3 linked regions of the Oryza sativa Japonica Group genome follow. The protein of the gene in region 1 interacts with the protein of each later gene in a pairwise test. Links are inferred from orthologs where the notes say so. Each region holds a gene or a part of one and is shown on either strand. Other genes may lie near its edges.

The links.
Region 2: the proteins of auxin response factor 12 (region 1) and auxin-responsive protein IAA31 interact in a two-hybrid assay, tested with the Arabidopsis thaliana proteins (2 studies listed by BioGRID). The link is inferred for Oryza sativa Japonica Group from reciprocal best matches to the Arabidopsis thaliana genes ARF8 and SHY2.
Region 3: the proteins of auxin response factor 12 (region 1) and auxin-responsive protein IAA33 interact in a two-hybrid assay, tested with the Arabidopsis thaliana proteins (2 studies listed by BioGRID). The link is inferred for Oryza sativa Japonica Group from reciprocal best matches to the Arabidopsis thaliana genes ARF8 and IAA33.

The regions. Positions count from the first base shown.
Region 1 is NC_089038.1:34,802,867-34,807,250, reverse strand, and holds the start of auxin response factor 12, read left to right. Parts: upstream 1-1,517; 5' UTR 1,518-1,750; intron 1,751-1,860; 5' UTR 1,861-1,960; coding exon 1,961-2,042; intron 2,043-2,132; coding exon 2,133-2,242; intron 2,243-2,357; coding exon 2,358-2,456; intron 2,457-2,582; coding exon 2,583-2,639; intron 2,640-2,757; coding exon 2,758-2,913; intron 2,914-3,015; coding exon 3,016-3,100; intron 3,101-3,412; exon of another isoform or gene 3,413-3,632; intron 3,633-3,882; coding exon 3,883-3,973; intron 3,974-4,058; coding exon 4,059-4,223; intron 4,224-4,305; coding exon 4,306-4,384. UniProt on the Arabidopsis thaliana protein: Auxin response factors (ARFs) are transcriptional factors that bind specifically to the DNA sequence 5'-TGTCTC-3' found in the auxin-responsive promoter elements (AuxREs). Seems to act as transcriptional activator.
Region 2 is NC_089046.1:26,036,903-26,040,833, forward strand, and holds auxin-responsive protein IAA31, read left to right. Parts: upstream 1-1,278; 5' UTR 1,279-1,406; coding exon 1,407-1,558; intron 1,559-1,656; coding exon 1,657-2,019; intron 2,020-2,315; coding exon 2,316-2,394; 3' UTR 2,395-3,295; downstream 3,296-3,931. UniProt on the Arabidopsis thaliana protein: Aux/IAA proteins are short-lived transcriptional factors that function as repressors of early auxin response genes at low auxin concentrations.
Region 3 is NC_089038.1:33,839,309-33,842,379, forward strand, and holds auxin-responsive protein IAA33, read left to right. Parts: upstream 1-1,538; 5' UTR 1,539-1,720; coding exon 1,721-2,154; intron 2,155-2,282; coding exon 2,283-2,358; 3' UTR 2,359-2,511; downstream 2,512-3,071. UniProt on the Arabidopsis thaliana protein: Aux/IAA proteins are short-lived transcriptional factors that function as repressors of early auxin response genes at low auxin concentrations.

The sequences.
Region 1 (4,384 bases):
TTGCTGTTGTTGGGGATGGTAAAAACCGGCCGGACTCGTGGAATCAAAGGCTCTAGGACAGGTTGCCCGTTTGGGGTGTGGATGATGATGATGATGATGACGACGACGACATGGGTTAAGGAGGCAAGGTTAGCTGTAATCAAACATATGTGTACGTAGGAGGACAAGCATACAAGGACTGATTATATAAGCATCACAAGTGGCTCCCAGTTAATTAAGTACTACTAGTCGCTAATCCGCAGGCAGCTCTTTAAGTGGAAAAAAAAAGATAGTACTTGATTAGTCTTGTCATGATTATGGTATTTTTGACTAATTGTGATTTCCAACTCATAAAATAGAAGCATCAAGTACATAATTTTTTATACCTATAATATATGTCTCTTATTAACATAGAAAGTAATGTCTCGAGATATTTATGTACTAACTCGATGGACCCGTTCCTACTTTTACCATGGCTTTTATTAGACAGACTGTAAGCACTATAGTCAGCGCATCGAGAAAGTATGTCCCAAGATACCTAATGCTCCCCTCTCTGTTCACCGGAGCTCTACGTATATAAAATATTGCCTACACCTGGTTGAATATATTCTGTTGAGCGATTAACATTCTATGTAGTAGGAGTACTCCCTCCGTCCCACATAAAACCCATTCCTATCATGCTAAGGTGAGACTAGTGAAGAGTAAAAATGACTAAAATACCCTTTTATTATTGAAAAAAATAGTAATGTTGAAAGGTAGGTAAAGGGTTTTTAAGGGAGAAAACTTTTCGTTTTATGTGCCAAGGTTAGGTAGGATGGTAGAAGTTGATTTTTTATGGGACAAAATTTAAACTATAGAAGTTGATTTTATTTAGGACGAAGGGAACATATAACAAAATTAGCACCATAAGACCATATTGTTAACCCAAATAATGAAATCAATACTTCATGATACCGGTAGAATCTGGAGGACGGGACTGGACAAACACGTAGGAGGAGCAGTACTAGCTGTAACACAGACGGGGAGGAGTTCACAAACCAACACGGGCTACAGGTTACAAGGAACGGTAGTAGTACTCCAGTGATACAACAGTGGTGCCCCACGGGAACACCAGTCTGCGCTGCGTGCGATGGAGAGCTGCATATGCCGGGATGGTGGATGGATCTCTCTCATCACCATTAGAGCATATATAATAGCAGACTATTAGCCAGATATAAACATATTTTAATAAGATAAGTGATCGCGGGCTATAGATATGTAGCCAGCTGCAGCACGAACTTCAAGACACAATATATGTAATATGTGAGACCATATATTAATAATATATTAAATAATTATTGTACGAATTAGCTATTAAATTGGTTATAGATGAATTAAAGCTAGTAGTGAACTATACTATTATACTATTAAACTTGCTCTTACGGCCGTGGTTACACCGACCCGACAGCCGCTTACATGAGCCCATAAAATACGGCTTTTTCAAAACCCCCTCGCTTCCCAACTTTTTAAAAACTCTTCAGACACTGTGCGGGAGCTCACGCTACTGTACGGCCCCCTGCGCTGCGCCCCCCCTCGTCGCGCACACGCACACACGCACTCGCACTACTCGAACCACGCGAACCCCTCTCTTTCTCTCTCTCTCTCTCTCTCGCTTAAATGCCACAAACCTAATCATTTCCACCCCTCTTGCGCTCTCTCTCTCTCTCTCCAACCCCACCCTTTCTCCCCACCATGGTGGCGATCTCCGAGCTCGGGTGAGCGGAAGAGAAAGGTTGGTTGGTCCCTTGCCGGCGGGGTGGGGGTTGGATTGATTTTGCTTTGCTTTGCTCTGTGGTTTGTTGATGCTTGTTGTTGGTGTTGGTGTTGGTGGTGGTGGTGCAGAATGCGGCCGATTTGAGGAGGGGGATGGGGTTTTCGGGTGGATTTGTGAGGGGATAGATTAAGAGTTTGTGCTTCTCTGGTTTGGTCGGAGGAGGAGGAGATGAGCTCGTCGTCGGCGGCCAGCATCGGGCCGCCGCAGCCGCCGCCGCCCCCCGCGCCGCCCGAGGAAGGTGGGTGGCTAGGTTTGTTTCCGCCGCTTCGCTTCGCGGTTCGCTTTACTTCCCTTCTCGTTTGGTTGATGACTCGATCTGCTGCTGCTGCTGCTGCTGCAGAGAAGAAGTGCCTCAACTCGGAGCTATGGCACGCCTGCGCCGGCCCGCTCGTCTGCCTCCCCACCGTCGGCACGCGCGTCGTCTACTTCCCGCAAGGCCACAGCGAGCAGGTGAGGCTGAGCTCACCTCCTCAGCCGTCTCGTGGGCGCGCTTGCTTTGCTTCTCTCTCTCTATCTCTGCTGGTTTCTCTTGTTTCTGACGCGGGTGAGCTTTGCATACGTGAAGGTGGCGGCGTCGACGAACAAGGAGGTGGAGGGTCACATCCCGAACTACCCCAACCTGCCGGCGCAGCTGATCTGCCAGCTCCACGATGTCACAATGCATGTACGTGGTTCCTTGCCCTAATTTCTCGGGGCATTTCTCAGATCGATGCGGCGTCACCTCCACTCCACTCCTCCGGTTTATCTCCATGGCTGTCGGTGCTGACTTGGGCTGGCAATTTTTTTGCAGGCGGATGTGGAGACTGACGAGGTGTACGCGCAGATGACGCTCCAGCCACTGAACCCAGTAAGGCGCCTGGGGTTTTTGCATGATGTTTGCAGTGCTGAGGTTTTGATGGTTTGAAGGCGTGAAATATTCTAAGCGGTTAATTTGATGGTTTTTTTGGATGTGTTCATTCGTGCAGCAGGAGCAGAACGATGCGTACCTTCCCGCGGAGATGGGGATAATGAGCAAGCAGCCGACGAATTACTTCTGCAAGACATTGACGGCGAGCGACACCAGCACGCACGGGGGGTTCTCCGTGCCCCGCCGTGCTGCTGAGCGCGTCTTCCCTCCTTTGGTGTGATGAGTGGTGTAATTTGGGGCTGTGCTCCTTTCTTGTACTTCTTGGGTGGTTGGGTTTTGCTGTTGCCAATAACAGGTGGTATAGTGTGGTTTGTAGGATTTCACACAGCAGCCTCCAGCCCAGGAGCTAATTGCACGGGATATTCATGACATCGAGTGGAAGTTCAGGCACATCTTTCGAGGTAACTTCTTAAAAATCTGTAGAGCTTATGGCAGTCTTGAATTCTTCATAACGGTGAATTATGATATTCTTAAAGGGAATTTCCTAATAATCATCTCTGCCCCTTTTCCATTCGATAAGTTCACCCTTTGTAATCATGGCTTAAAACCTTCCTAATAAAAACGTTTTCAAGTGTTCTGAGAAAAACTTCAACCATTCTCACACAATGTGATGTAAGCGTCTTTTTCACTTAAAAATCAGTTGGTGTGAATGGAGCAAGAGATACTTGATTGAATTAGGGTTATGCATAGAAATGAAGTTACGAGATCATTAATTGGATAAGCACATAAAAAATATCAAATTTTAATATGTTAGGATAGTTAGCAGTGGATCAAGTTACAATTGACATATGAATACATGATACTTTCAGAGGCGTACTGAAATATTTACTAGAGTTCGCAGGTCTTACAAAATTGCACAATGAGCAATCACTGTACTGGACAGTATAATTCTCGGTGTAGGCTTCTTTTTGTATGCCTTGAATTCCCATCTTTCTGCAGGGTTGAACTTATTGTTAGTGTGTTTTCTGACACAGAATGTACTTTGTATTGATCACAATAACTAAAAAAATGTTGTCTTAACATAAATGTTGATAGTACATATGCTTGAGGTACTTGTGCTGTATTGATTATGAAATGGGATCTGCTCAACACTAATGATGTTGTTAGTAATTGTGTTTAGTAGTTTTATATTTTTGAACATGCCATGTTACTATCTTTTGTAGTAATATGCTGTTTTTGACAGGCCAACCCAAACGACACCTGCTAACCACTGGCTGGAGCGTTTTTGTCAGTGCTAAGAGACTTGTTGCTGGAGATTCTGTGCTTTTCATATGGTTTGTTTTCCATCTCTCTTGCATTTGTGATTTTCTTTTTTACCTGTGCTAATGAGTAGGGCGCATTGTTGATTCTCTGACTCAGGAACGAGAAAAACCAGCTTTTACTTGGAATAAGACGTGCCAGTCGGCCACAGACTGTGATGCCTTCCTCTGTTCTTTCAAGCGATAGCATGCACATAGGTCTCCTTGCAGCAGCAGCTCATGCTGCTGCTACAAACAGCCGTTTCACTATTTTCTACAACCCCCGGTAAGTTGGACTTTTAAATTAGTATATATGCATTGTTGTTTTTCCTCCCCATGTACACCGTTAATAGAAAGAGTGTTTGTAGGGCAAGTCCATCAGAATTTGTCATACCACTGTCAAAATACATCAAGGCTGTTTTTCACACCCGGATATCGGTTGGGATG
Region 2 (3,931 bases), on another chromosome or scaffold:
ATAAAATGTAACAAGTTGGGACAGATCAATCGTCTTGTCAATATTAGGAACATCGATCTACAGATCAACCAGTACTCTCTGCATGAACTCTGATGGATCCTAAACTGTTTTTGGCTAGTGCAGATATATGTTAATTACTAAATTGTCAATTAGACAAGTGAAATAAACTTGTAAAGCCAAGCAAATATTTTTTCAGTTTTCTTTCAAGCTGGACCAACCATTCATGACACCCAATAGGCCAAATTAATTAATTAAAGCTTAATTAACTAATTTACCCCTAAGCAAGGGACCAGCTGCTTGCTCTCATCTGAAAAATATGAGAGGCCGCAGCTAGCTTAGCTTTGGTTAGTTAAAGAAACAGCACCGGTGCAAACAAACCATACTTTAGTTTGCAGCTTCTAGCTTTCAAATAAAAAGGGTTAGTTAATTAACAACAACTAACAGTACTCAGAAATTGGGAAATAATGTTTGCACTAAACAAGCAGCCACTAGGTGTTTTAATTTCCCTAGGCCCCCATGGCCAACACCAAAAGAAGAAAGGCCAAAGAAAGAAGAAACAAAAGGTAGTGGAGAGAGATTCACAAGGGGATACACTACATGATGAGAAGCATGCAATAGAATACTGCAACATATGTATACACTCCATGTTACATTGTTCCATGCCACTATATCTTATTGGACAATATGGAGAGGGGGAAACAGCATTGTATATGCCAAAAGATGCTCCCCCAAAGATCTCTAATGATAGCATCCTAATCATGGCTTTGGCACCCTTGTTTAACTATCTCAAGAAAAAAAAAACCTTCAGACCCCCTAACTAATTATCCGGATCCACAGGTACAGAAAACGATCCATACCCAATAACAATGCTGCAACTAGGTACATAGTAGGCTGGATTCTTAAACTCGTGCCAGCAATGCATACATTATAAATAACACTTATCGGATAAGGGTTACGAGGATCAATAACCGATGACCCCGTATTACAATGAACAATAGGGTAGTGGGGGACCCGAAACCCGTTACCCGACGAATCTGCATGAGGCGTCAGGGGGCCCACGGGGTCGGCCCGCCCCTGTCGCGGGCTGACCCGGCATGGCCCTCATGGCTGCACCCTAGCTACCCCCACAACCACCCTCCCAAGCGTGTGGCCTGGCAGTGGCACGTATGGATGTACGTACATGCACTCGTGTGCTCACATCCACATGTGTGTGCTTCTTCACATAGCTAGGGTTTGTTAGCTAGGTCTATAAAACATCGCCATTGCTGCTCAGCTAGCAGCCACGAAGACAAAGTCAGAGGTCACACAGCTCATCGTCTCGAGCTACCTAGCTGGAAGAAGAAGAGGAAGAAGAGGAGGAGGAGCTCGTCGGAGTTTAGTTGGTGAGTTCGCCGGAGAGATCGATCATGGAGAATCTGAAGGCGACGGAGCTGAGGCTCGGGCTGCCGGGGACGGAGGAGGAGGCGGCGCCGCCGCCGTCGACGCCCAGGGCCGGAAGCAAGCGCGCCCTCGCCGGCGAGCCTGATCAGGCCAAGATCAAGCCCGCCGCCGCCGCCAAGTAATTAATATCAAGTTCTTCTTCGTCTTCGTCGCCGTCGCCGCCATGGATGGCAGAGCTAGCTCTGATACGTGTCGTGTTTGCTGCTGCTGCTGCAGGGCGCAGGTGGTGGGATGGCCGCCGGTGAGGTCGTACAGGAAGAGCTGCCTCCAGCCGACGACGACGACGACGAAGAGCAAGCCGCCGCCGGCTGCCGCGGCGGCGGAGACGCAGCAGAAGGAGGATGTCGCCGGCGCCGGTGGGCTGTTCGTGAAGGTGAGCATGGACGGAGCTCCATACCTGAGGAAGATAGACCTCAAGGTGTACAAGGGCTACCGGGAGCTTCGCGAGGCACTGGAGGCCATGTTCCTCTGCTTCTCCGGCGGCGCCGCCGCCGACGCCGCCGTCAACCCGTCCGACTTCGCCGTCACCTACGAGGACAAGGACGGCGACCTCATGCTCGTCGGCGACGTCCCATTCGAGTAAGTTGCTTCCAATTTTTTTTAGTTTAATTAAGTTTAATAAATTTTTTTTACAACTTCTAGTATCATAAATTAGTATCATTAAATCTAACATTAATATATTTTGATAGTATATATGTTTGTCTTTTTAAATGCTACTATGTTTTTCTATAAATTTGGGTTAAACTTAAAATTTGCCTAAAATAAAATCAGAACAGCTTATAATATGAATCAGAGAAAATTGGAACGACTTATAGTATGAGTCAATTATTTACTTGAATTATTTCTAATTAACTCTATGATTGTCTTTTTAATAGGATGTTCATTAGTACGTGCAAGAGGTTGAGGATCATGAAGGGGTCTGAAGCAAGAGGCCTAGGAGCAACAAGGGGTTAAAAACTGAACAACAACAAGAAGAAATCATCATCATGTGTGCATGAGCAATTCTTTTGTTCTTTTTGGGTTCTCCAAGACATGCAATCATCTCATCTCCTCATTGCAACCTTCAAGAAAGAGAGAGAGAGAAAGAAAAGGAAAGCAAAAAAAAAAAAGATGCAGTGAAAAAAATATGTGAAGCTTAATTGGAGTCATCAGATTGCAAAGCATGCATGCATGTGTGGATGTGTGGCTTTAATTTGTTTTTTTCCTCTTAATTAGGTGTTAGAAAACACAGAAGGAATGGAGGTTCGAGTTGAGCCTCCATGTGTGTTTGTACAAAGCAAACATCTTTTTTCTTTTACATGAATGGTTGATTACTTTTGTAACTGGAGGGAAGAAGAATGCATGTATGCATGGGCTGTGTGTACTTCTCCCTCTGGCTTCAATGCTTTGATTTCCATCCAGATTATCATCAATTTGCAAGAACGGCAGAAAATTACTTCTGCATCGTTCATTATGGTTAACTAATCAGTAACAACTTCACCATATGCTCACTTAGTCCACTAATCCTTCACACTCTTGGTGGTTTTTCTGAATCTCAATTAGGAGGCACAAACTTAAGCCATCAGTCATTGCTCTGTTTCCAAGAAGAAGCAGAGAACACAAGACAATTTTCTCCTCTTCAGACAGCATCACTTTGCAAAAAAGGGACAAGCTATGATTCACCCAAGTGACTGAAGTAAAAGAAAATTATAAATATATACAACTGCTTGGTGTGTCCAAATCTTGTCCTTTCATCAGATGCTCCTTGTCTTGACCCTTGAGCAGGTTTAAACATGTACGGAGGGAGAGATTAACAGTTTTAACAATCCAAGATCCAGTTAAATCTTTAATTAACCATTGATCCACTTGTCAAGAGTGACAAAACCAAGCAAAGTAATTAAGCTTTATTAGCCAGAGAGGCAGATAGATCAAGCTGGTCATCAAGGGACAAGCCTTCCATGGTCAGTGCTGAACTAATCTGTGTGCCTGAAACTACACACCCACACACACACAACTCATCCAGCAATGGTAACATGCACCTGTCTAGAGCTAGTCAGACAGACTACATGTGGTGCACATGAAACCCAAGGAAAAGATTAATGCTGGTCAAGGCTATCATCCATCTAGCTTAGCCTCACTCTGATCAGAGAGAGAGAGAGAAACAGGGAGTTCAGAGAGTAGCATCCAATGCAAGGGCACTATACTCCTTGTCTTCTGGGATGGTGTGATGGGTTTTGGCTAATGGAGAACATAATGCCTGGAGATTGAGAGGGTAGTAGGGTCCAAGCATGTGTGTGTGAAGCAGCAAGGAAAATGAGCTGGGAGATGAAGATTGATGCATATGTCAGATGGAGAGTCCCTGTCTGGTTTCAGATTTGCTTGCATGATTGATTAATTTCCTGATGTTATGTTAGGTTCAACAAGAGCTGGGTGTTATATGTGTTAGTGTATTTATTGTGGAGGTTGCTGGTTGGCTGGATTGCTAGCTACAGTGTCAGTGCAAGCACAGCCT
Region 3 (3,071 bases), about 960 kb from region 1:
TCGATCGATCTGCACGCACACGACCGTACGTGCGCGCGATCACGAATTTAATCCACACGGACATTATTTATGACCTTTAATTTACTACAGACGCAATATTCATGTAATTAAGAGCAGCGGGCTACAGATTTGTAGCCAGTTGTAGCACAAACTCCAAAGCGCAGTGTGTGTATGATAGGTGGGACCAGATATTAATAGTGTAGTATGTAACTATTGTATAAATGAGCTATTAGATTAACTATAAATAAATTGGAACTAGTAGTTGACTATACTATTGAACTTGCTCTAACACAGACCTGGTAAGAGCACAATTCAACCAACCACAACGATAGAGGCAGCAGTAACTGTAACTCACATGTTTCTCGCACCAAATCAACCGCGCATAGTACTCCGTAGCTTAGCTCCAATCCAACGTCTCCCCGGCCGCGCGGCCGCCCGTTTTTCCAGCTACCACGACGGGTGCAAAGACCGGAGAAACGTACGTACGCGAGCTAGCTAGATCGGTCGCCGCGCGGGCGGCGCCGATCGAGATGCTGCATGCGCATGCGAGAAGCCCCCGCGCGACCTGCAGCGGCCAGCTGCGCGAGTCGCACGTATACGAAGGTCCATCGATCGGCACACGGTATCCGCGGTGGTCTCGTGCGGTGCGCGCGCCCCCCACCACGACCTCCGGGATTGCACGAGCAGACTCCCGTTTTTTCTTCGTTTCTCTCCGGACGCCGCTGCATGCGGACGCGCGCGCACGCCCCGGGCGGCTAACCCGATCGATCGATCCCCAGGGGGAAAGAAAATGGCAAGAAGGCTAGTTTTGTTTAATTCCTGTCTCGGGTTTGGTTGGTTGCTGGCACTGCACTACTGCTCGACCCCTTTACTCACTTGCAAGCAACCCGATCGACGTCCCACCGGTCGTCCCTGCTGGCAATTTACTTGTGTGTTTGTGTGTGTTATATATATATATATATATATATATATATATATATATATATATATAACACACACCGTGCACGTACTAGCACTGTAGCGCACCCATGACTGTCTTTCTTCAATTGAAATGAATTATTGTCGTCCCTAGTTAATTACTAGCAATTCTCAATATATAATTTTGAATTGAAACCAAGTTCATTACGACAAAAAGAAAAACTGAAAAGAATACTGGTATTGTATTAAATGCAGTACAGTGATCTCGTTAATTTGCAACCATACCTTAGCTCCACACTCCACGAAAACTATTCTAAACTTAACTTTCGAGGGATATCTCCTCGTTATTTACATGTCATCTAAATAATTATAAAAAAATTTAATAAGATAGATTAATATATGATAAATCACTAATATCAAATTTAACTTCTACAAGTTACAACTGAAAAAATAAATTTGAATGTAAGTATACGTTAGTTAGCCATAGTTTAATTTATTTTTCTAAGTTATACAAGCTAAATTTTAATCAATTGGATAACATACAAATAGTGAGCTCCACTCTAGCCTCTATGACTCCATCTTCTCCTACAAAACGGTCACACGCTTCACACGGCAAAGACACAATTAACCTTCCACAGAACGGTGCTCCAATCACTCCACTTCATCCTATTTAACCCACCCCCTCTCACTGTGCGTCTGTGCCTCTCTTCACACACACACGCACAACCAACCGCGCCGCCCACACGCCACGAGCGCCGCGCCGGCGAGCTCTTCGATCAATCGCGCCGGCCGCCATCGTCCCATGATAAGCGGCGCCGGCGGTGAGCAGCAGCAGCAGCAGGACACGAAGCGGCGGCTACCGGCGCCGACGACGTCCGAGCAGGAGAGGCGGCAGAAGCAGCACCGCGGGAAGATGCTGAGGCTGTCGGTGCAGCAGGGCGACGACGTGACCGCGGGCGTGGTGCCGCCGGTCACCGTCGTCCTGGACGGCCGCTCCATCTGCCACCGCGTCCACCTCAGCAAGCACACCGGCTACCGCAGCCTCGCCGCCGCGCTCCGCCGCATGTTCGTCGACGCGGACGACGACGTCGGCGCCGCCGACGAGGCAGCTGGCAGGAGCAGCTGCAGCGACGCCGACCGTGGCGGCCTCGACCTGTCCAATGCCGTTCCAGGGCACGTCGTCGCGTACGAGGACATCGAGAACGACCTCCTCCTCGCCGGCGACCTCAACTGGAAGTAATTAGCTTCACACTCATCTTGTTAATCTCACTTCGTGTTCATCTCGTGCTTTGTCTGAATTATTCTTGACGCATTTCTGTGTGCTGTTCATCTGATCTGATTCTCCTGCAATACATCCATGTCAGGGATTTCGTCCGTGTGGCGAGGAGGATTCGGATCATCCCGGCGAAGCCATCTAGCCGGATGAGGCCTCAATCTTAATCTGCTCGCTTGTAACTAAACCACATAAACCTCTAGCTACTACTAGATCCAGTATTCCTCCTTTCGAAATCGAAATAGTTTGTGTTTTTGTCATCAGTTTGTAACGTCGTTAAGAAAATTCAGTTAGTTATTATAATCCCGTTTTAATCGTGACCGGTAATGTGCACGTACGGTTGAATTGATCTGCAAATTAGTAAGGTTAATTAATCGATTCATTACAGGTTAGTTAATCAAATCGCTGCTCGTGTCACATCTTGTTCGCTGTACATGCTTAACTGTGCGTGTACGTGGAGTACGTCGTGTGCCGTGTCCGTCTCTCTCGTGAGTCATCGTCTGCGATTGACTTGTGTGTTCTTGCTTTGAAAGTGAGGGCTTGTGTTCACTGATTGCTTGTGTTTCTCAACTGCTCGATCGATCGATCAGTCTCTCGATAGCTTCTTGAACACCGACGCTTTGTCCGAACGTGCAGATATGCAGGTACATATATACAGAGATGCAGTTACAAGTAGCCGTCAGTTAACCAGCTCGATCAGTACTCGTCGATCTCGATGATATCGAATCTATCAGTGTAGCATCAGCTACGTACTATGCTATAAAAGTCGATTTCAATTAAGCGTCTGCTTCTGTTAATTTGGAGATTGGATCGATTTACACGCGTATGCACAAGAACAGTTTGGTCGATCGAGTTGACGATAGCAATGGATGAGACTGAG